3 linked regions of the Rhinolophus ferrumequinum genome follow. The protein of the gene in region 1 purifies or fractionates together with the protein of each later gene. This does not show direct contact. Links are inferred from orthologs where the notes say so. Each region holds a gene or a part of one and is shown in the gene's direction. Other genes may lie near its edges.

Evidence for each region.
Region 2: the proteins of USP25 (region 1) and KCTD10 purify together in Homo sapiens (affinity purification with mass spectrometry; 4 studies listed by BioGRID and IntAct, counting the BioPlex papers as one, with this or other methods). This does not show direct contact. The link is inferred for Rhinolophus ferrumequinum from reciprocal best matches to the Homo sapiens genes USP25 and KCTD10.
Region 3: the proteins of USP25 (region 1) and KLHL9 purify together in Homo sapiens (affinity purification with mass spectrometry; 3 studies listed by BioGRID and IntAct, with this or other methods). This does not show direct contact. The link is inferred for Rhinolophus ferrumequinum from reciprocal best matches to the Homo sapiens genes USP25 and KLHL9.

The regions. Positions count from the first base shown.
Region 1 is NC_046285.1:10,681,809-10,690,136, reverse strand, and holds the start of USP25 (ubiquitin carboxyl-terminal hydrolase 25), read left to right. Parts: upstream 1-4,990; 5' UTR 4,991-5,151; coding exon 5,152-5,196; intron 5,197-8,328. UniProt on the Homo sapiens protein: Deubiquitinating enzyme that hydrolyzes ubiquitin moieties conjugated to substrates and thus, functions in various biological processes including inflammation and immune response.
Region 2 is NC_046308.1:14,111,925-14,119,859, forward strand, and holds the start of KCTD10 (BTB/POZ domain-containing adapter for CUL3-mediated RhoA degradation protein 3), read left to right. Parts: upstream 1-4,776; 5' UTR 4,777-4,874; coding exon 4,875-4,877; intron 4,878-7,935. UniProt on the Homo sapiens protein: Substrate-specific adapter of a BCR (BTB-CUL3-RBX1) E3 ubiquitin-protein ligase complex. The BCR(BACURD3) E3 ubiquitin ligase complex mediates the ubiquitination of target proteins, leading to their degradation by the proteasome.
Region 3 is NC_046295.1:18,597,280-18,604,967, forward strand, and holds the start of KLHL9 (kelch-like protein 9), read left to right. Parts: upstream 1-4,529; 5' UTR 4,530-5,065; coding exon 5,066-6,919; 3' UTR 6,920-7,688.

The DNA.
Region 1 (8,328 bases):
ATCTGACCTTTGTGTCTTTTCTACCATCCAAGAGAGAACACAAATAATCACCAAGGGTTTGAAGCTAGCAATAAATAGCTGCTTAGGAATAACAAAGTAAGTTCTTTTGTACATAATTTGATATATGAAACTATTACAGAAATGTCAGTGGAACAGTCCCTTCTTAGCCTGTCAGATTTTGTAAACTGACCTACTTAACTCTGCTTCTTGTCCTAGACTCAGAATATTCAATCCCAGCTGACTAATTCTTCTTGGTGCTCATCTACTGGTTTTAACTTCTCAATTTATAGGTCTCAGTGAAGCCCTAATAATAATAATAGCAAGAACTTGCTCACATTTATTATGTACTTACTTTTTGCCTTATAGTGGTCTAAGTAGTTTACATTTACTTAATCATTTAATCATCAGAATAACCCTATATTATTATTCTCATTTTATAGATGGCAGAACTGACCCAGAGAACATGTATAACTTAAATTCATGTCAGAACAACAAAATACTCTCTAAATATTTAAATCAAGGCCTACTTAATTCGAAGAATGGGTTATACAGGTAACGGAAGACCTGAGAAGACAAACAAGGACAGTGAGTTAAACCAAGTTTAGCAACAGCAAGAACTCATTTTGACTCTTAAATTGGAGGGATGATGGAAGCAAGCAAAATTTCCACCAGGACCTTGAACCAGGGTAGGCCAGTCTGGTGAGAGCTAGAACCCCCAAAGACATATGGCCCAAGGAGATGCCACCCAAACGGAGAAGAAGGAGAAAGAGAAATAGCCTGGCTTTTTTTTTTCTCTCACGCCCTCTCCCTCCTTCCCCCAATACAATATCTACGTCTCTCATTGGCCAAATCCATTCTCAAACCAGCTGACCTGAGAGCATGGACTATGCAGGGATAGTTTTTTCTGTGATTCAGAGAAAAACAATAGAAATGCATGGAATTTACCTGATAGCAAACAGGCAAGGATTATCCAAAAGGCTTAAGTTGCTTAAGATCATAGAGCGAGCAGTCCCTGGGTTGTTCTTTGGGATTTGTATATGTGTAGCCATCATGGGCCCTGAATATGGAAGACAGAGGTCTTGGGAAGTGACATTAACTTATATAATTTTCTCTGTCCATATATGTCATAGGATAATTTCAGGGAAGTGTATGCCTACTACTGTAGAAGAGGAAGAAAGGTAAGAATGAGAAAGGGCCTGGGGACTAACCATTTTCATTGCCCGAGAATGCCTTTGGGCACGTTCAAGGTAAGGGAGCAAGTGATTCACACAAGAAATCACCACTTTTGTGCTGGCTCTCAGTTGATAAAGCGTAGCTGTTATCCAAGTAGGACCTTGCTTTTAAAGCAGAACTTGCAAATCAAAAAAAAATAGTTCACATTAAACTAGATTTCTATTTCAGAACTCTTTCCCCCAAAATTATTCTAATTGGAAATGTCAGTATTGGCAGAAAATGAAGAGGTCTATCTATCCTTTAAAGTGTTAATACAGCTCGTAGCAATATATGAGGTGATAGGATGGAGCAGGAAAAAGGATATTTAGTGGCACATAGGCATGAAGTGTAGGATTAAGTAAAGTAGATTAAATATGACTGTTTCGAGCTGAATTGTGCTCCCCCAAAATTCATGTTTTGAAGTCCCAACCCCTAGTACCTCAGTATATAACTGTATTTGGAGGTAAGGTCTTTAATAAGTTGGCTGAGTTAACATGAGGCTGTTAGAGTGGGGCCGTAAGCCAATATGACTGGTGTCCTTACAAAAACAGGAAGAGACACCAGGGGAGTATGCGCACAGAGGGTCAACCATGTATGAAGAGGCAGCCAGAGACTGTCATCTGCAAGCTGAGGAGAGAGGCTGCCAGAGGAACCAATCATGCTGGCACGTTTATCTTTGACTTCTAGCTCCAGAACTATGAGAAAATAAATTTCTGTTGTGTAAGCCATCCAGTCTGTGATATTTTGTGATGACTTCCCTAGCAAATTAAAAGGTAATATTTAAAGATTCTCAATGGGTAAGGCACCATTGGCTGCTGGAGATACTAAAATGATATGCTTTGTAATGTAAAACAACATGGCTTCCAGAACCACAAAGCTGTGCAATTGGAATGAGAAGTTCAAATTAGACATGCACTGCAAAAGCATCAATAAACTTGGTTTCTCTCCTTCATGGCTGCCCACTTCATTCAATAAGCATTTTATTGTGACTGTATCAGGCAGATAGCACTTTTACAGTTTTGAATCTATGAATGCCCTATCACTGAATGGTACCATTGTGACATCATAGAAAGCTCCTCTTTGAATAACGAGGTTTAATAATAATAATGCTTATGGTTTCCTAATTGGTGGTGGTGGGGGGGAGTTATCCCAGGATGTCAACATACTTACTTAAAGAAGGAAAATAATTCTTAACCTCCTTGAAATAGATTTAAGAACCACTCTTTTATCATGGAAATTGTTCAAATCTACACTACTAATTAAATGATTCTCTCTTATTCTTGTCTTACAAATGTGTTTTAGTAACATATGAAATTTTTGGTGTCCAGAAATGGATTTTCAAACCCTTTCTAAATAAAGAGAAATGAATAATCAAGATAGAAGAAAACCAATTTCCTTGGTTCACATACAAGTCACAATAGTGAATATTGTTGGAAACATCATTTTGATCCAAAATAGAAAAATAGACTTGTTAAAAACTAAATTTCACATTTTATAAGAACTCTATCACTTTATGTGTTTACCTGAATGTCAAATATCAGAGTAATGGAACAATTTAGGAATGATTAAATAGTATCCTGAGGCTATCTTACTCTAACAACTATATATACTAAGGCTGACTTCTGAACAGCACAACTGACACTGAGCAAATTTTGTAAATAAATTGGGATATCTGGCAAAGGGTCTTATGTGAGAATTTATCTCAAATTCTCAAATTTCCATCTTTTACTCATTCCAATTGTACTCTTTTTTAAAAAAGAACGCATATAAGGAAACTTGAAAATTTCTTATTAAAGTTCTACAAAATAACAATTAAGTTTAAAAAATATTAAATAGGAAACCATCAGAAGCAAGCTGGGAATCAATGCTCAAAGTTCGCAAGTATGACTACCCTCTAAAGAGCTTTTATTTGGGTATAAAAATGGGTATGATAATTTTTTGTGTGTGGAATTAAAACATTTAATTCAAAGAAAGATTTATTGCCAAATTCTTGAGACTAATCTTTAGTATCGGGCAATATCTTTTTAAACCACAGTACTAGATTTTATGTTAAATTTAACTTTCTTAAATTCAAATGTCATGAACCAGATAGATTTAAAACAAAATCTATAATACAGAGAAACATGAAGATATGTCGGAAAGAACTTTGGTCTATAAATGAGGAAAATGGGTTCTAGTATGCCTTCTTTGACAAGTCACCTCTTAGGGTCTCAGTGTTCTGATAAAAAATTTCTGCATTCTATCAGGACTGTTGCATTATTCCTAAAATCCTGGGTTTCCAACCATCTCACTACTTTTCAAATTCTTCTGGCAAACACACAGGATATCAATAAAATAAAGTTTGTAATTTGTCAAAATCAAATGAGCAAAATATGTGAAGACTCGAGGGAAAGATCTCAAAAGGTGGTTAAAGACATCTAAGGTACAAAGTCAGTTGTAAAGTGAACAGATTTGTTACAAAGACTTAAGAAGTACTTGATTCAGGATTATTAAATAAAACTAGATAATATTTCAATGATCATTTACCAAGTTTGTTTTTCTTGTCAACAGATTAAAAACCGGATTTGCATGTGTGTATTGTGTTTGGGACAATATGCACTGATCATTCCGCCCCTCCTACCGCAGCACCCTCACCTCCAATCCCCAGGTTAACTCCTGAACGTCAAGATATTTTTGAGGGTAGAGATTGCTGTCTCAATGTTCGGTTTCCCTTATAATTCCATATATAGTCAAGTATTCCATGCTGGGTGGTTAATTGATAGTTTGGCAACTGGAATACTAAAATTATGCACCATGTAGGCAGTGATACTTCTGTAATGTCTGTTGTATAGACCGTAATTCATTTACATCAAATCTTGGAGAAGTAAACCTTATTTCTCCAGATCCTGGCAGTGACTGGCACATGTACGAATGAATGAAGTAGACCGAGAATGCCAATAATCATTTATGTACTGATTACTTAAGGAGAAAAGTGCATTCCAGCCTAAGGACTTCTGACAGCCCTACGCTTAAATCACTCTTTTCCCTTAGGGCAAGTTTATTGCTTGTGAAATTCCTAGAAATGAGAGGGCAGAGGACCGCAGACGTAGAAAGGAGCCGGGGTTCGGGACCCAAGCGGTTTGGGGACGTTACGGGGCCTAGACAGAAATGTTTTGTCTTGGCGGAGTTGGGAAAGCCGGCGACCGGACAAGTCCAGGGCGCAAGCAGGAACGCAGCCCTCCGCTCTCGGCGTGGAGTTTAGCGGAGCCAAGTTCTGACGTCGCGTAACCTGCCGCAGGGGCGGCTCCAAGGCCCAGCTCGCCAGGCGCGCCCTCGCCCCACCCGGGGGCGCCGGGCCCGCGCCAGGCGGGGCGGGGCCGGGACTGGGGGGCGGGACCCCGGGGCGCTCCGCCCCGCCCCGCCGCCCCGCGGGTCACAATGTAGGGTTAGGGCGGCCGGCGGGCGGGGCTCGGCGGGGGAGGAGCCGCCGGGCGGGGGCGGTGACGGCGGCTGGGGGAGGGGAGGGAGGAGGATAGCGCCATTCTGGCCGGCCGCTCCCTCCGTTCCCTGTGCCTTCCCCGCAGTGGCCCGTGAGCGCCCGCGAAGGAACGCGCGCGCGCGTGACGCGGCCCGCCTCGCTCGCGCCCTCCCGCGCCCCAGCGTCCGCCGACCGCCCATGGCCGGGGCCGCGGCGGAGCAGCCGCGCTGAGGCGGCCGCACGGAGCTGTGGGCTCGCCGCCGTGGCCCTCGCCGTCCGCGCCGCGCCGCCAGCCCGCGGTCCCCGCGCACGCCTGCCGCCATCGCCTTCGCGCCTGCCTGGCCGGGGCGCTGTCCTCCCCGGCCGTCCGCGCCGCTGCCTGGAGCTCGGCGCAGCGTGGCAGCCAGGGCCGGCGGAGGCGCGAGGAGCCGGACGCCGCCGCCTGTGTCGCCGCCTGTGTCGCCGCCGGTGCCGCGGGGGCCATGACCGTGGAGCAGAATGTGCTGCAGCAGAGCGCGGCGCAGAAGGTGAGGCGAGCCCGCGAGCCGGCGTAGCCCGGCCGCTCTCCTCATTCCGACGTGCTGTCCGCACCCGCCGGGACCCCGAGCTCCCCGGCCTCCCCGCCCGCGCTCGGGCCTCCGCGGCCCGGGCTGCCTCCCCCGCCACCCGCCGCCTCTGCCGGTGGTCTTCGGGGGTGTCGCGCCCAGTGCCGGGCTGCGTGTGGGAAGCGGGAAGTAGTTAGCGGGTTTCAATCCACTTCCTTTTGCTGATTGTTTTCCTGCAACCAACGGAGCCTGGTATTTATTGGGAGCGACTCTCACATTCCTACACTGCTTTATATGGCTTCTTAATTAAACTTTATTAAAACAAGAAGAGGAATAGCCAGTTGTCATCCGTTCTGAACACAGTTTGTATTTCGAAGGCAGGGACATTCCAGGCCTGCTAGTTTGCAAAAGGGTCTCCTCCAGAATTGAATTGCTTGCCTGGCAGGGCAGGTACGTTTACCAGGTGGACTCTATGTACAAGTAGAGGATTTGGTTGGTTCCTTTTCCTCTTTCGGTTTCTTTTTCTTTTTTTTCTGAAACTGCCCCTTAAGAAAGGAAACCTTCCTGGCCATGTTTGTTCCAGGAATCTTTTGTCCCCTAAGTTTGACCTTGTTCCATCGTTCACCCTTGATTCTTGCCTCAGTCACACATTCAAATGGTCACTCAAGTTTCAAAAAAAAAAAATCTGTTTGTGAAGCTTGAGATCGTTCGTTGTGAGTAGTGAGAGGTGCTCCTTTTATTCTAGATTTTGCTTTCAGAATCTCCAGTGCACTATCATGGCTTGAACTATGTTCTGAAGAGTAGTTGTTGGCTATGACTTATTGTGTGTGTGTGTGTGTGTGTGTGTGTGTGTGTATGTGAGAGAGAGAGAGAGAGAGAGAGAGAGAGAGAGAGAGAGAGAGAGAGAGAGAGAGAGAGAGAGAGAGAGAGAGAAGCATTTGGACAAAAAGAAAACAGTGCTTTAATCGTGTTAGAATTATGGAGATAACTGGTTTACTGTCAACGGCTGCCAAAGACGTGTTTGGCTTATCTGAGCGAGGGATAGTGCCCCGCCCTGTTACAGGTTTGACGTGGTTATATCCTACCTGTGCTTGGTTATAGAATAGGGCCTCCTGCCCTAAAATGGGCTATGCATTTATTTACAGCCTGCTAAGTTTTTGCTTTGAAATTATTTTTAGAATTTTATGATGGTACACGAGGTAATTGAAGATGCTCAAGAATTTTGGAAAGCAAGGATAGTGCATTGTTATTTTAGGCACTTTGAGAAAGTTGTCTTGGAACTTGTGTATTGGTTAACTGTTACTGGTAAATTTAGAAGATTATTGCACACTGCAAATTATTTGCAGAGTGAAATAATTTCTAGATTTAATAATAGGACAACAGTTCATCTCCTAAATCCCCTCTATTCTATTCTGAATATCTAAAACTTTAGTTTTTGATGTTTGAGTATATAATAAAGTGTTAATACTTAGAACAGGATCTTGGGATCATATGTATACTAAGTAATGTTTAATAGGTTTGTTATTTTTATTTATAGTTCTTTTCAGTGTCAAATATTAAAGTCTATTTCAAAGTGGAAAATGTAGCTAATTCTCACGTCTCTTAAATTTGAACAATGGCAAGAAATTTGTGAGTTTTTTATTAATAAAATTGATTTTGACTTAAAGTATTTCTTTAGTATAGAACCAAATACAGATCTGCATGCTTCAGAGTTTTGTGCATAAAATTGTAAGATCAGGAATCAAATTACTGAAATTACTTGATCTTGGTCATCAAGTCCAATTTCATAGTTTAATGGACCCTCTCCTTACATAAAGACAATAGTTGTTAAATTTAAAGTATTATCATTATGATGCTATTTTTAGAGTGTGTATGTCAGATCATTTCATTGATATTGGGGAATTGTTTTAGAGCATTATAATTTATTATACTTCTGTCATGGTATTTATGTGTTTTTTAAAAGAAACAATGTGTTTGTTTGCTTCCTGTATTTATGTACTATTACTTTGTTACTCAGATTAGAACTATTTTAAAAATATTTATATGGGTATAAATACTTTATACTGTCTACTTCAAATAAATTGATAGATTTAAATCCACCAAGCTAGTAACTAGGAAGTGGACTTCAAGCTAGTAACTAGGAAGTAAACTTCATACTTTACAAGAAACAAAAGTGAAACTCTTTGTTTTTATTTCTAAACTTGATGAATTACCAGTAAAGTGAGAGTTGTCTAGTGCGTATTGCACAACCAAAATTTTAGTCTATTTTCTGCTCTCCTTAAAAAAATGGTGTGTGTGTGTGTGTGTGTGTGCGCGCGCGCGTGCACATGTATAACATTAGTTTTATGTAAATAGCTGTATCTGGTGGTTGGAACAGTTTCCTGTACTTTCAATATTCTTTTTTTGTTTTCTTCCAGAAAGATGTGTGATTAGTGATAATTTTTTTTAAAGCAGCACAACACAAGACTTTCATGGGTCTTTTGTTTACCTACAAAGTAGCTTGTTACAGTATAAGTCAAAGGGCTTCCTTTTTCTCTGATGTGTTCTTTGCTTGATTGCTGAAGTTTGGCCATGCCAGTTAAGAAATGTAGGAAAACTGCAGAGCTGCTTTTCTGAGGTTTGGATAATGCAAATGAGGGGAGTTGGAGGCAGATTATGTACAGTTAAAGCTTGTCATAGTTTGATCTTGAATATGTATCTTCAGCTTTTGTGCTTTATAGTTTTCCTAAGTGTAGGATCCTTGGATCTTAGAAATTTGATACATAGACTCCGATCCCAAGTGAGGATTCTTTAGGACAGCAATGGAAGGCTTCTACCTAGGGACCTAGACACTGTTTTATAGAATGAAGTGAACTGGATACTATTTACATTAAATGCATCCTTCTGAGTTGAGTAAAATGTAACGTTCATTAAGAGCAAGTATTTTGCCTCTTTTGTTTCACCCTTTGGCTTAGAACAGTTCCTTGCACATAGTAGGCTTCAGTAAGTATTTGATGAAGGAAATGAGTGAATGTTTTCTAAAATGAACGCAAGTGCAGTAGTTATTTTAGTTCCCTAGCTCAATCCCAAGATTTAACATTATTGAGAGACAATGAAAGCTCAAAATTAGAGAAT
Region 2 (7,935 bases), on another chromosome or scaffold:
GGGTCATTTTAACACTAAAAAAGCCAAAGGTCCATGATTCCTGAATGCAAGACGATCCATTAAATAAATACGTTTGGTTTTACGTGTAACTTACTCCGTGGTCCTTACTGTTTCCACCCCACCAAGGACCGGTGAAGATTTACTGTTTCGACCCCACCAAGGACCGATGAAGATTTTAGGGCAGAACTGCTCCCATCCGTTGCCTGGCACTTTTTGGATGGAGGCTCTAAATTATCCATCACATTTTATCACCAGTACATGTCTTTTCCCAAAGGGATGGCTTTGGCTAGCGGCCTAGAGCGCACAGTACTGGCCCATGGAATCTTCCATTCTGAGATTTCTTCAGATGCTTGATACCTTTGTCCTTCTAGCCAAAATACATAGGCAGCCTAGCTGACAAAAGCACTGAAATGAATTATTCATCCATCCAGACTCCTGGAAAACAATCTCTTCACTAGGTTACTTCACTCAAAGCAGCACCCATATGGAAACATTACGAAGAAGAAAAAAGGCTCATGCGGGGCTCTTCCCATTTTGACAAATTGAGGGATCTCTGTGGCCCCTTTTCAACACTGCTTCATATCTACCAAACACAAGGCTTTTTCCATCAAGTGGGCCTCTCATCAAGAATTCTCGAAACAAATTATCAAAGTCCACCTGACAACAGGAGGGAGGGAAAGATGACTGAAGGGGAAAAGGTAGCAGTCTTCTGAATCATTCACTCTTTCTGCCCCAGCAGAAGTCCAGAGAGCTCACCTGAGGACCTGCCTATGTCGCAGAAATGCCAGGTAATCATTAATGATCTTGCACAGGACTCATGGCCAAGGGCAGCTTCTCGCTTCAGAGGAGCTTGTCTTTTCTGGCAAAAGCAGAAGGAAAAAAAAATCCAGATTTAGGGTTAAGTTTTATAGGTAGGACATCATGTATCTTCCTGGGTAAAAGCAATAAATACAGTGTCTCTGGCTTTAAAAAGACAGCACTGTGTCTCTTTAGTTACTGTTTGGTCTAAACGATAGACTTGATCTCCCCAGCCCACACGGTTTAAAGGGAATAGGTTGAAAATACAGGGGACCCTTGAACAACACAGGTTTGATCTCTGTGGGTCCACTTATACACAAATTTTTTTCAATGAATACTGTAAATGTATCTTCTCTTCTTTACGATTTTCTTAACATTTTCTTTTCTCTAGCTTACTTTATTGTAAGATCGCAGTATATTATGTGTAACATACAAAATGTGTGTAAATCGTTTACGTTTACACACATTACACACAGTAAAGCCTCCAGTCAACAGTAGGCTATTAGTAGTTAAGTTTTTGGGGAATCAAAAGTTGTATGTGGATTTTCAACTGCACAATGGGGGTGGTGGCCCTAACCCCCGCACTGTTCAAGGGTCAACTGTAATCCCAAAGATGTTACTGAATGAAAGTTTTACATGCTTTGTGATGGTAAGCAAGAATAACAGACAAGGTGAAACGTTAAAAAGCCACTGAAAATAATGTTTGACATTTTTAACAATACGGAAAAATGTTTACACCCAAGAAAGGAAAAAAGGGCTGGCTGTGAACCAATATGATCCCGATTACATAACGAAAATGAAAAATGCATATGCACACATAGGTACAAAACTGCAAAAAAAAAATACACCAACATGTTAAGTAAGAGCAGTTGTTTTGAGAGAGTGGAATTGTGGGAAAGTTTGTTTCTCTAACTGGTGGTCTCAGTGGACCACGCGAGGATGGAACCGGCTACCTTGCTGTTATTAGCACCACACTCTAATCAATGAGCAACCAGCCGCCCGTCTAACTGGTGGTCTCTAGCTTCTAAGCTTTTCACAGAAAGCACCCGGAGAGGCAACGTGGTACTTAGAGGCACTTGTGCTCTGGAGCCAGTACCTAGCTCTGCCACGTACTGGAGGCTCTCCGAGCCTTTCTGTCTTCTTGTTAATTGGCTCAGAGGATGGTTATGAGGACTAAATGAGATAATGTGCATCAAGTACCTACTGCGGTGGCTGACAGAGCACACAGTCAGTAAGTCTGAGGTGTTATTTTTCTAGACACAAGGATTTTGTTTTTAAAGTCTTTGGCAGAGGCTCCTATCCGTACAGCCACTAAGGTTCTTTAGGTAGGAAAAAATGCGGGGACCCTTATAGTCCTTACCCATTAGCTTTTTCCCCCTATCCCTAAATACACTAAGATTCATCAGTCCTGTGACTTGGGCTATGAACCCCTGGCTCTCTTCAGATTGGATAATAGCTTCAAGCTCCTGCGAACTGCAAAAGAGCAGGGCCCCAAGCCATGTACCCAATGCTATGCTCTTTCTTTAACATGTAGATGGTCCCTCATTTATAGGGATGGAGAAGAGGGAGCCTATTCTCAGTGGAAAAATAAGAGGCTGCACGTAAACGGTGACTAAGTACCTGTAAGAATTAGACTATAGTGAGTACTCAGTTAACAGTCTATAGGTTCTTGGAACTGGGGCAAAATGACATATAAGGAAACCAGTTTTACCACAGGCTAATTGAGTTAAGTTCCTACGGCATCTCATCAATGTTATAATGAAATGATTTTGAACAAAGTGTTATTCAAGAACCTGCTGTATCTCAAAACGTTCACTTCTCCCAGGTGGCCTCTCAGGATAAGATCCTTCCTTGAGATTACCTTCCCCTCAGAGACGCTATACGTTGGCTTCTGTTTACACTATATGATAGTCTATACTATGCAGTTTTTTCTAACTCTTTCTTATTCACAGTCTCTACCTGTATTGTGTTTACCACAATCCATCAATAAAACAAAACATATCGTGAAGTATTTACTAAGTGCTTACTCTGCTAAATGCTATGGAGAATCAAAAAAAAAAAAAAGGCTGTATGTAACAGACACAACCTTGGATCAGACAACGTAGTCCTTGGTTCTTTTTAGTTCTGATTCTACCTCATTTGACCAAGTTACTTATCCTCTCTAGACCTCAGTTTCCTTATCTGTAATGTACCTACCTCCTAGGAATGCTAAAAGGATCACATGAAACATTTGCTCTTCTTCTACCTCAATTTAGTCCTCATGGCATAATTTGCATTAAGTGGGAAAATCCTAATAAGGAGGATCTGAAAGCAGAAAGCACATAAGTGAGCTTTACTGTATTGTCCTTAAAAAGCTTACAATCATTAGGGAAACAACAGTGACATACGTGGGAAGATCAGGAAACAAGGAATCCGTGATAACTATGATCATATGAAAAGCCAAAGGAAAACATGTTGTTTGAGTACCCACTATGGGCCAGGTCCTTTCTAAATGATCTCCTCTAATAAGAACAGCAACCCTGTGAGATCATTTAGTATCTCCCACAGCCCAGGTTAGACCGTTAGCAAGCGTCAGAGGAGAGGGTTTTTCATACGAAGAGACAGGGCTCAGACTCTCCTCTACTTCTACATTCACGTGAGACCTGCTCAAAATCAGTCTTTTCTGGAGAAGGCCAACTCCACAGAGAACTATGAAAGAGCAAGAGAATCCAAAACGTATCGTTCAAAGGTGAAGTACCATAAATACCAACTGAGCCCCAAAGGATTCTCCCTATATGGGGGAACAGCTGGCAGCTAGGTTTCATGACCACCACCCTCTAGGAGCGTGCTATTATCAACCCCAACTTCCGAGGGAGAAAAAGAGATGTAGAGAAGGGACATGACTTGTCAGAGGTCGCTAGGCTCCAGAATTTGAACTCAGTTCTAATTCCAAAGCTATTATTTATTTGTAAGTGAAACACACAAGACCCAGAGACTCCCTCACTCACAAACAGCAAAGAAAAGCTGCGAATGCAAGGCTGCCATGGGGCTAAGTTACTCAAATTATAAAAAAAGCTTTTCTTCATTTGTATGATTAACACCAGAGGCCTTTACTGAGCTGGGTGTCAAGCACGGTACTACAACTTGGCATTATACAACACACTCTGTGAACCGAGCTAATTACTCCACTTTACAGAGGAGGAAACTGAGGCTCTGAGAGGTGAGGGAGCTCATCCGCGGTCACAAAGCCAGAACACAGGATTCCAATTCCGGTTTCGGTGATTCCTAAGACCCCGCCTCTTTCCTCGGCATCAACAATAACAAATCTTTTCCACCCAGCGTTAGTCTGTTTATAAAGGCCCCGAGATGAAAAGAGATAGAAAAGGCTACGAAGAGACACCCATCCCCCCCCACCCCTCCCCGAAACGCGAAAGCCAGACGCTACTGAAGCAGCCCCTCCGACCAGGTGAAGCAGCGACCCGGCCCCAAGGCCACCTCCCTTAAAGTCCCCGGCCCCACCATTCGGTGAACCCACGACCCTGTTCCCACTCGCTACCCGCAGGCCGTAGACCTTTATCCGCTCGAGGCCCCCGCGCTCGGGGTCGGAGCCGCAGCTATTGTCGTCTCAGCCCAATACCTCTGAGCTCTGCCAGACCCGGGGCAGCGACAGAGACCCGACCGCCATCTTGCCCCGGGGTGTTCGTTCTCAGAGCTCCGCCGGGAAGCAACTATCCAGTTCCGGGCACTGATAGTTCCCCAGAGCTTCTCCAACCGGGAACGACAATATCCCTGTAGCTTGTCGTCCTCTCTGGAAGCTGAAAAAGCGGGGCATTCAGGAGCGGGATACACGCCTGCTCCAGCAGAGAGGAGATGCAACCCACTCCAGCCAAGCAGGTGGGAAGGAATGCGCCGACCTCAAGCACTACAACGGATCTTTTAGGAAGGCGCCCTCTGCGGGGCGGAAGTGGGGTAGGGACAGAGGAAGTTCCTGCCCCGGCCCCGCCCCCGCGCCCCCCCCAACCACTGGCTCACGCTAGCTGGGTGTTTCCTGCCTCCGTCAGTCCGGGTTTGGAGGCTCCAGCGTTCTCCGACTTTTCATGGTAAGGAGGGCGGTGCCCACCGATGGGGGCTCTGGGCGGCGGAGAGAGCGGGGCAGAGGCAGAGTAGAGGGGGAAGGGACCGATCGGAGAGGGTGCGATGGGGGCTGTCGCGATAGACGATAGGCGGTTGGGGGATTGGATGGGGGCGAGGCCGGGGGTGGGGGTAGGGCTTTGGGTGGAGAATTGCGGGGTCCCTGGTTGTTGGGCACAGAGGCAAAGGCATTTGGGTTTGGGGAGTAGATATGTGTGTGGTGGGAGGGGGGTGTCCCTGAGTCTTGAGTGCTTGTTGGAAATGGGAATTGGTAATTGTAAAGAGAACAAAGAGATGTCACTGAAGACGGACATTTGGGGTGGAAAATGAGATTTGGGGGAGTTGTGAAGGAGAATAGGTAGGTTATGAGAGAGCGAAGTGGGATTCCTTGGGATGGAAAGTTTGGGAAGTTGTTGCAGAAGTCGCTGGATTTCGGGGAAATGGCGAAGGGGGCCTCCCAGGTGCGTCTGAACACACAGGCGAGTGGAGGGAAAATAGAGGGAGTGGGCAGGCGGGTGTGCTTGGCGTGCTTGGAACTCCCCGAAGGGATGCCAGAGGCCTGAGTTCAGGCACTTGCGCCACGGAGTCCAGCGTCTTAACTGGCGCCTTGGTACCTACCTATATGGTCACTTCCGTTGAGGCTGGAGGTGGCCACACCTAAGGAGCTGGGGATGGCTCACATGCAGTCTCCTAGCTGTGGGAAGTTAATGTGTGCTTGGGAGCCTTCATGGGTCTGTTTCTTGAACTTTGTCCGGGGGTGGGAATGAGCAAAGTTCAGCCCAGACCCTCTTTTTTTACTAGTTTGCCCATGTCTCTTCCCCGGAAAGTGCAATCTTTAAGGAAGATCAGTCCCAAAGACACTATTGAAAAAAAATGAGTCAGCCAGTGTCTGACTTCGGTCTGCTCCATTTTGTGTAAAATCAGGACCACCAGTGGCTCTCAGATTATGGTCCCCAGACCTTATAAGAAATGGCCAAATTCTCAACCCCTACCATAGACTACGGAATCAGTCTGGGGTGGGGCCCAGCAATCTGTTTTAACAAGCCCTGCAGGGGATTAGAGCAATGATTTCTTGATTTTGTCTATGTGATGAAAAGGGCATGAGCTTGGGAGTCAGAGTACCCTAATAGTTCTGATTCTTAATTTTCTCCCCTAAAAAGTGGGATAGGTGACAACAGTTTCCTCACTAGACCATTGAGAGAAATAGGTCAATCGTGTGCTAAACACAGGAAGAGAATATAATTTGGTAGAACACTTGGATATAGCAGTACTAGTCCTATAGGTTTTGGATGCAAAATCATGCTACACTTATGTGGATAATTGAATTTAGTTTGATTGAAATGGAATGACAGACTTTTTTATAATTAGCCACAAGGCAGTGACTGTTAGATCTAACTGGTTAAAGAAACAGCTTTGTGGCTTTCAGCTCTGGTCACACATTAGAATCACCTGAAGAACTTTTCAAATAGTAGTTTCTGAGCTGCCACAACCTTCTCTCCCCCTCCCCAAATTTGATTAGTTGTTCTGGGGTGAAGCCCAGGCATTAGTACTTTTTAGACATGCTCAAGAGATTCTAGTACAGCCAAGGCTGGAGAATCTTGGTCTTAAGAAAAGCTTGAGGAGCAGAAGGTAACCTACACTAAGAACCAGGTGCCAAGTACTTTAACATTCATTCCCTGGGGGTTATTATGAAGATCATGACTTTACCTTCGTTTTACAAGTTAGGAAACTGAGACTGGGTTAAATCACTAGTGTGAACATCACACAGGAAGTAGTGGAACTGAACTGCAGTCCAGGTTTGCCAAACTCAATCTAACATTCCACACACATATTTCCCCCACTTACACACACAAGGGAGACCGTTCCACAGAGTTGTATAGAAAACATCTAGGGGTGAGGGATTTGGTACCTTTCTTCTTATTGTACTTGCCTACGTCTCCTTTCAAGTCAACAGTTTTCCCCCATCGGCTGACTTTTATTTTTTAAGCGTATATATAGTTGCTTCCTGTCTGTGGTTTGGAAGCTGTGAAGTAGAGAGGCTTGCTTTTGTTTGTGATGCTGTGGTTTGTTTTTCATGTATGGTCCGGAATCCACTGCGCCAATAGAGCAAGAGGTGAGGGAGCGTCTCCAAGACCATGAAGTTAATTCCATGTTTCCCCGAAGATAAGACCGAGCCGGACAATCAGCTTTAATGCGTCTTTTGGAGCAAAAATTAATATAAGACCCGGTCTTATTTTGCTATAACATAAGACCGGGTATAATATAATGTAATGTAACATAATATAATGTAACATAATACCGGCTATAATGTAATGTAATATAATATAGGACTGGGTCTTATATTAATTTTTGCTCCAAAAGACGTATTAGAGCTGATTGTCTGGCTAGGTCTTATTTTGGGGGAAACACGGTCGTAGCCTAATTAAAGCATCCAGAACTCTTTAGAACAGTGGGTTGCAATTCTGGCTGCACGTTGGAATTACTTGGAGGAATTTTTAAAATTCTGTTGCCCGTGCCACTCCCCCAGACCAGTTATATGAAAAAGTTCGTGGCTAGGAGAACCCCAGGCCTCAGTATTATTGTAAGCTCTCGGGGGAATTTGATGTGCGACCAAGTGGAGGGCCACTGTTTAGAATCAGCAACAGTATACTGAGGGGAGCTGGAAAAGAGAGCTGCCTTGCTCATGCATCTGGAATAAACCTCTTTTCTGATGGAACGGACTCGGTAAGCGATACCTCCAGTATTAATTACCTCACTGTTTCTCGTCACCAGTTTCGCGCTCTCCTACCTCCCCTCCCCAGCCTCATGAAAAATTAAATCAAACCTTTGAAACAAGCTGAAAAGCAGGATCCCTGTAGCAATGGGGGCGGGGGGCATCCTCTGTAGAGAGGTTTGTTGTGAGAGGCTTATTGTCTTCTGCTTTGTGTCCTCAGCTCACTGTCACTCGGGCTCCGGGACATGAACACAGCCAGAACCTTTTTTTCAAGGGCCTCTTAGTATTAATATGACTGGCCTTTGGAGGAGTGG
Region 3 (7,688 bases), on another chromosome or scaffold:
TCATTGGTGTTCCACATCTCTAGGGATAGCGGCAACTATTATTTCATTTTATAGAAAATAAAGCAATTGAGCATTTTGTCTGGTGTCTAATGATTAGCAAGAAATAGAGGTGGGGCAGGACGCCAGGCCTTTTGACAGCTACTTAACAGGTCTTTCTGCTACATCATCCTGCTCCGTCTAACAAATGCCTGATAGGGGCAGAGCACCCTGACTCTTCCCAAGTGTACACACACATCTCTCTTGATTCCCAGAGTATCACGAGGCATCCCAAAAAGGGGGAATTATCTTCATTTCACAGATAGGGATATTGAGGCTCAGGCGGGCTGATGGCAAAAAAATCTCAGGTTCAGGTGAATGGAACCGGTTTTATTTGTTTTGTTTTTTACTATCACGTGGTAGTTATTTCCTTCTTATAGACCGCTAGCTGCCTCTCAACACCTAGTCCTAAATCAGCAAGCATGTCTCCAAACAACATGGGATCCCCATTCCAAATTTTCCCTCTAAAGCCCCTTCTGGCTCCACGCCATCAGCTTCCGTTCTGCCTAAGCAGCTGGTGCTTCTCTGTGAGCTCCTGACATCTCCCCTTTTATTGTGGCCTCAAGGCTCTCTGACCTTCCAAGGGGATCATTAGTTCATTTTACAAACTCATTTGCTGAGGAAAGACTCCAGGTTCTTGGCCTTCTAGGGAAGAATAACAATGGCGTTCTAGAGACACGGCACTCACTTGTGTTTCTCTCCCAAGGCAGTTATCCCCATAGTGGGCATTTTAGGGCCGGCTAGAGGGAAGTCTTGACCCTTAGACCTTAGGTGAGTAAGCACCCTCCTGCTGTGATTATCCTAGAGAAGGGCAAAGGGAACGAGTGATGCAGGAGAAGGAGCCCTGACCGGAGAGAAGACATGCCTACTGTGTGACCGTCGTATCTAAGCTCCTATTTACAAAATAAAGATATCAACTTCAATCCAGCCCAAGTTCCCAGAGTTTTTTATAAGACTTTATCAGATCATTTGTGAATACATTTTGAGCTAAACAGATTGGTCTAAGTAGTCACAGGGGCCCCTCAGGTTAAAAGGAGTAGAAAGAGTGTTAAAGAAGCTGTGGCCGTCTTTTACCCACCACACTGTTTTTCTGTTTCAGAAGCAAGTTGAGCCCAAGCGTCAATTGTTGGCTAACTTTATAACGAAAGAGTGTGGGGAACCTCAAGACTAACGGCTTGGGGAAACTGGGTTAGAATGTGAGACGTATCATTGCAATCAACTCTCTTCTGCTCTGAGGTGTCCTAGCTGCTAAGCCTCTGCTCTCCTGTACACACTCAGGAGCTCCCGAGGCACACAGTGAAGGCAGAGAGTCATGCCAAGCCTTTGGCAGTCATTCTAGAAAGTAAACCTGTACTTTATAATTTTTTTGTTTCCTCTTTCTTCCTTAGCAACTGAAGCTTACACATTCTATGATTCCAAGACAGCTGTCCCTTTGTTTTCTTTCTTCACCTTTTTATCCTGTGAAGGGAGTGTAGAGCCTGTGATTTAGATTCAAGTGTTACATATAGCTTGAATGAAATGAATGAATGAAATTCAACTCCATCCTTCAACTGGGGTTGCAAAATCAGTCTTGGCATTGGTTAAAAATAAACATACCTAAAAAGATTTGAAGGGGTGGCCGGTTGGCTCAGTTGGTTAGAGCGTGGTGCAGGTAGCACCAAGGTTGCTGGTTTGATCCCTGCATAGGCAACTGTGAGCTGTACCCTCCTTAAAAAAATACCTAAAATAAAATTTCAAAAAAGATTTGAAAGTAAAACTTGAAATAATTAAGAGAATAATTAAAAAATATAAAGGTGAATGCTTTTTATGTAATTAGCACAATGTACAGGTGAACATGATATGGAAGCAAATATTGAAATACAATAAATATAGTAAAATAGATAGTTAAGTACATACGAGTAAGCACATTAAAAAGGCCACCTAGGATGGGCGCCCTAGGAACTGGATGCTTTAACTTAGAGTGGCTTAATACTACTGAAACCATCAGTTAACAATTAACATGTTTAGGTAGATCAGAGACTCTAAAGATATAGGTATAGGCTTTAACTAAATGTTTCAATTGCTTTGGTTGTCACACAGCGTATAGTCAAAGATTAAGGCCTGCCTGTAAAGCAAGTTCCAGGAGAAATGTTCAAAAGTACACTTTTATAGAAAATACAGCTAGTTAAGCACAAAACAATGATACCTTAAACAATGGTGATGGTCACAAGATGTCCAATTTTTGCTTTTTGCTTTAAAGAGAACGTCACTGATGCACAATTATGAGATGTTTTTGCAGAATCTTGGTTCTTCAATCCAGCTCATCTCGTTCTCACAATATAATTTTAAGTTGCTGACGTACTGTTTCTTTGTCAAGCAAGAGGAGATAACTCCAGGGTCACAAGAAGAATTTATGAGTTTATTTTACAGAAGGAATAAAAGTTACAACCAGCTGCTGACACCCAGAAGTCTGGTTGCACAAAATGTTATCTATGACTAAAGAAATACAGACTCTCCCCTTGGTTCCATGAAATTCCCCCTCCTCTGCTCCCTAGCCACATAAAAACTCCCTACTTTTGCTTTTTGAGGAAGACAGAGTTGAGAGATCTTGCTCTCTCATCCTCTTGCTTTGGACAAATGGAATAAACCTTTCTGTATCTCCAAGCTCCAGTGTCTCAATGTTTGTTTACTAGCACATCAATGACATGGACCTGAATTTTGGGAGGTGGTTCAGTAACACTACCAATAAGTGTTGTGACAAATTTGATTCAACTTATTTCATGATGCAGGCAGAAAAAAAAAACCAGTCTTTTGAAGTAGCTAAACATTTGGGAGTATGATGAATTATATCTGTCCATAATAGTTTCGTGAAGAGCATGGGTCTGGTTCCTTAGCTCTTAGTCATTTTTGTTAAGCTTGATAATAAAGAGAAAGATAGCATGATTTCTTCCTCTCACAACTTCCCAGGTACAGCAGCTCTGTTTTCTCTTCCACACAGAGACTGATTCCTTGGAAGTACCTCTTCAGGGCCAGTATGGAGTCTTTATAGCTCAGGAGAGTGCTTCCATCCCCAACTCAGACATCGAGCAGGTCTCTAGGACTTCCCGATGCTGATAAAGTCCAGTAAAGAATTTATCCAGTACAGTTTCATCCTAGCCAACCTCTTATCCTGAACAGATTGAAGATCTGCTGAGACATCTGGTGGAGGATAGCAGTGGTCTGAGCCTTTGGGATCTTGCTGCCATCCTTCAGAAACAACAGAAAACAACTGGAACAGCTAACTGTCCATGAGTAAATAATTTATGACACACCTATTCGTGGGTAAAAATAGAACTGCTTAAAAAAGATTAAAAAGTTCTCTCAATTGTCACCCCAATAAACTTAAAAAAAAAAGTTCTCTATTATATGGGAAGATCTTCCAGTGAAAAAAAGATAGGTGCAGAACAGTGAGTATGGTATGTAAGTATCTTTTACATAAAAATTGGGAGAGTGTAAAAAGAATATAGCTATACTCTGATTAGTTTGCATATGCATAAAAGAAACTAGAAGAATTTAAAAGACAGTTGTAACTTCCAACTGAGGAAAATGTTGGAAGAATTTTGTCAAAGTATACATTTATTCATATGACAAATTTAAATTTACTAGTAATTAAAGAAATTCAAGTTAATAAAATATCTATAAAAGGAAAGATAAATAGAAGGGAAAAGCACATTCAAAACATCTATTGTGAGTTTTGGAAAGAAATATTTATGTCTTAGAATTTATCCCAAAATGGGAAAGTTTTGTGCCCAGATTCTGTAAATTACAGATTCTATAAAACAATGGAGGACAAGAATTCAGGAACAAATAATGGGCAAAGGAAAGGACAGCACCGGTATGTATAGTTATCGGACAATTGTGTAGCCGTTTAAAAATTTGAATGGAAAACAAAAGCATGGAGAATTACTGATGGTGGAATTCCACTGGAAGGCAAAAATACAGGCTATATTATTTACATAGCACAGTCACAATTTGGTATTTAAAGAGACAGATGATATGTGTTTTAAATGATTGAAAACAGTTATAATTGAAGTGTCAATTAAATGGTGTGGGATATAAATGAAAAAGTCTTTTAAAGAGGAAAACTTGTAAGCATCGTTCCCCCCCTCCCCCCGCCCTCCTCTGCTATGTTTTACTTCAATTTATATAAAAGCCGTAATTCATTGTTATTCAAAGGGCAGAAGCCAGGAAGTGTAAACCTTAAACAAAAAGTGTGCCTGGGGTGGGGGTGGGGGGTGGAGCGCTCAGAAGCTGTGCAGTTTATACCAAACGTGCAGCATAACCTACGTGCTGGCCTATTTAGTCCCACCTAGAATATGACCCAAAGAGGGCCGGCTCGCGCCCACCCGGCACAGCTCCGCTCCCCCGCCCCCTACCCTTCCAGTCCCCAGCGCACTTCCTCCCCCTTCCCCCCGCCCCCGCCCACTGGCGAGTTGGACGGCCGCGCCGCCGCGCAGCCGCAGTAAGTGCTGCGGCCGCTCCTAGCCCGGGGGATCCTGGGACTAGGCCTTTCCGGAAAGGACCGGCTGGGCGTCGGGGGCTAAGGCCCGTGTTCCAGACCCGTGTTCCAGGCCCTTGCTCCAAGAAAGCCCGGGCCACGACGAAGCTCTAGTGACGGCGGAGGACGCAGCAGGCTGCTCGCTGAGGTGCCCGGCCTCGCCGGCGAGCGAGCCGCGGAGCCGCAGTACGTGGCGGTGCCTCCCCCTTGGCCTGGAGCGGAACTGCTGGAGGAGCGGCAGCGCAGGCCAGACAAGGTGAACCGGGTCAATTAACTGCCTTCAGATGATGAATCATCTGCATAACAATCAGATTTGATGTCCGCAGCCCTTTGTGGTCCTGCTGCAGAACCCTTTTAAGTGGATGACTGATTGGTGTGTTCAGAAGGGTGCCACGGTGACTGCTTGCCCTTGACAAGGAAAGCGGATCTCCTGCGCTTTGGACATCCTCGGTTCCTTGAAAGCATTCCGGTTTTAACTTCTTTCTCTGGCATCTTTGTGCAAGAGGCTTTCCCATGAAAGTGTCTCTTGGTAACGGCGAAATGGGCGTTTCCGCCCATTTACAGCCTTGCAAGGCAGGAACCACACGATTTTTTACCAGCAATACGCACAGTTCGGTGGTATTGCAAGGCTTTGATCAGCTTAGAATAGAAGGATTGCTTTGTGATGTGACTTTGGTACCAGGTGATGGAGATGAAATTTTCCCTGTTCACAGAGCTATGATGGCGTCTGCTAGTGATTATTTCAAAGCTATGTTTACAGGTGGAATGAAAGAACAAGATTTAATGTGCATTAAGCTTCATGGCGTGAACAAGGTTGGTCTGAAGAAAATAATTGATTTTATTTATACTGCAAAACTTTCTCTTAATATGGACAATCTTCAGGACACACTTGAAGCTGCCAGCTTTTTACAAATTTTACCTGTTTTGGACTTCTGTAAAGTGTTTCTTATTTCAGGAGTCTCTTTAGATAACTGTGTTGAAGTTGGGCGAATAGCTAACACTTATAACCTTATAGAAGTGGATAAATATGTCAATAATTTTATCCTGAAGAATTTTCCTGCATTATTGAGTACTGGGGAGTTTCTAAAACTCCCTTTTGAACGGCTTGCCTTTGTGCTTTCCAGTAATAGTCTTAAGCACTGTACGGAACTTGAGCTCTTCAAGGCTGCCTGTCGCTGGCTAAGGTTGGAAGACCCTCGAATGGATTATGCTGCAAAATTAATGAAGAATATTCGATTTCCACTGATGACACCACAGGACCTCATCAATTATGTGCAGACAGTGGATTTCATGAGAACGGACAATACCTGTGTGAATTTGCTTTTGGAAGCTAGCAATTACCAAATGATGCCATATATGCAGCCAGTGATGCAGTCAGATAGAACTGCCATTCGATCGGACTCAACACATTTGGTTACATTAGGAGGAGTTCTGAGGCAGCAGCTGGTTGTCAGTAAAGAATTAAGGATGTATGATGAAAGGGCACAAGAGTGGAGATCTTTAGCCCCTATGGATGCTCCTCGTTACCAGCATGGCATTGCTGTCATTGGAAACTTTCTTTATGTAGTTGGTGGTCAAAGTAATTATGATACGAAAGGAAAAACTGCTGTTGATACAGTTTTCAGATTTGATCCACGGTATAATAAATGGATGCAGGTTGCCTCATTAAATGAAAAGCGCACGTTCTTCCACTTGAGTGCCCTCAAAGGACATCTGTATGCTGTTGGTGGGCGAAGTGCAGCTGGTGAACTGGCCACAGTAGAATGTTACAACCCAAGAATGAATGAGTGGAGCTATGTTGCAAAAATGAGTGAACCCCACTATGGCCATGCTGGAACAGTGTATGGAGGCTTAATGTATATTTCAGGAGGAATTACTCATGACACTTTCCAAAACGAGCTCATGTGTTTTGATCCAGACACAGACAAATGGACACAGAAGGCTCCAATGACTACAGTCAGAGGTCTGCATTGCATGTGTACAGTTGGAGACAAGCTCTATGTCATTGGTGGCAATCACTTCAGAGGAACAAGTGATTATGATGATGTACTAAGCTGTGAATACTATTCACCAACCCTTGACCAGTGGACACCAATTGCTGCGATGTTAAGGGGTCAAAGTGATGTTGGAGTTGCCGTCTTTGAAAATAAAATCTATGTTGTAGGTGGATATTCTTGGAATAATCGTTGTATGGTAGAAATTGTCCAGAAATATGACCCAGAAAAGGATGAGTGGCATAAAGTTTTTGACCTTCCAGAGTCACTTGGTGGCATTCGAGCTTGTACTCTCACAGTTTTTCCACCTGAAGAAAACCCTGGGTCACCTTCTAGAGAATCACCTCTTTCAGCACCTTCAGATCATTCTTAGGACTAAGGTCTTAATGTTTTTGCAGTGCATATGGACGATCTTATCATTCCCCCTCAGCTGTATCTTCTTTCAATGATTAGTACAGTTATTAGATTAAAAAGGTAACTGATGTTATTTGTATTGTTTGACTTAGTATGTTTATCAAATGGTTAAATGCATTCTGAAAATGTATTCAACACAGCCAGCTGTTTTAAAAAATGTAAAAAGATCTGTGAAAAAAAAAGGTTAGATGTCCTTTTGTGGTGTTGTGTAAGTCAAATTGTAGGTGATTGTAGTAAATGTATAATTATGTTCATTATGCTTCAAAGTTGATAGTTTTCATCTTTTGACTGCAAAACATCAAAGGGAGGCTGCCAGCTCTAACCTAAAATATTAAACAAAAAGTCGCCAAGTATTATTAGCTACCTCCCTTTTTTCATAGTTTTTGACATAGCTGCCAACTCACCAGATTGTGTTGGTGCACTCAGAATGTGTGAAATTTCTTAGGCAGAAAGGAGAAATAGTAAATTTAAAAATACTAACTTGAAAAAACAGTATAGCCCTAAGTCTGTATCGCTAGAGAGAGGGAGGAGAGACTTCTCTCCCCACACACACACACATACATATGTATATACATACATACACATATATAATTTTTAAATTGGAATTTCAGGCATAGTGAAATTGTTTCTAAATTTAAATTATTTTCTTTTATCTAGCAGCTATTTCTATTCAAATGGGAATTCAATAGCAGAGAATAAATGTCTGTATAGTCATACTGAATTGAGAT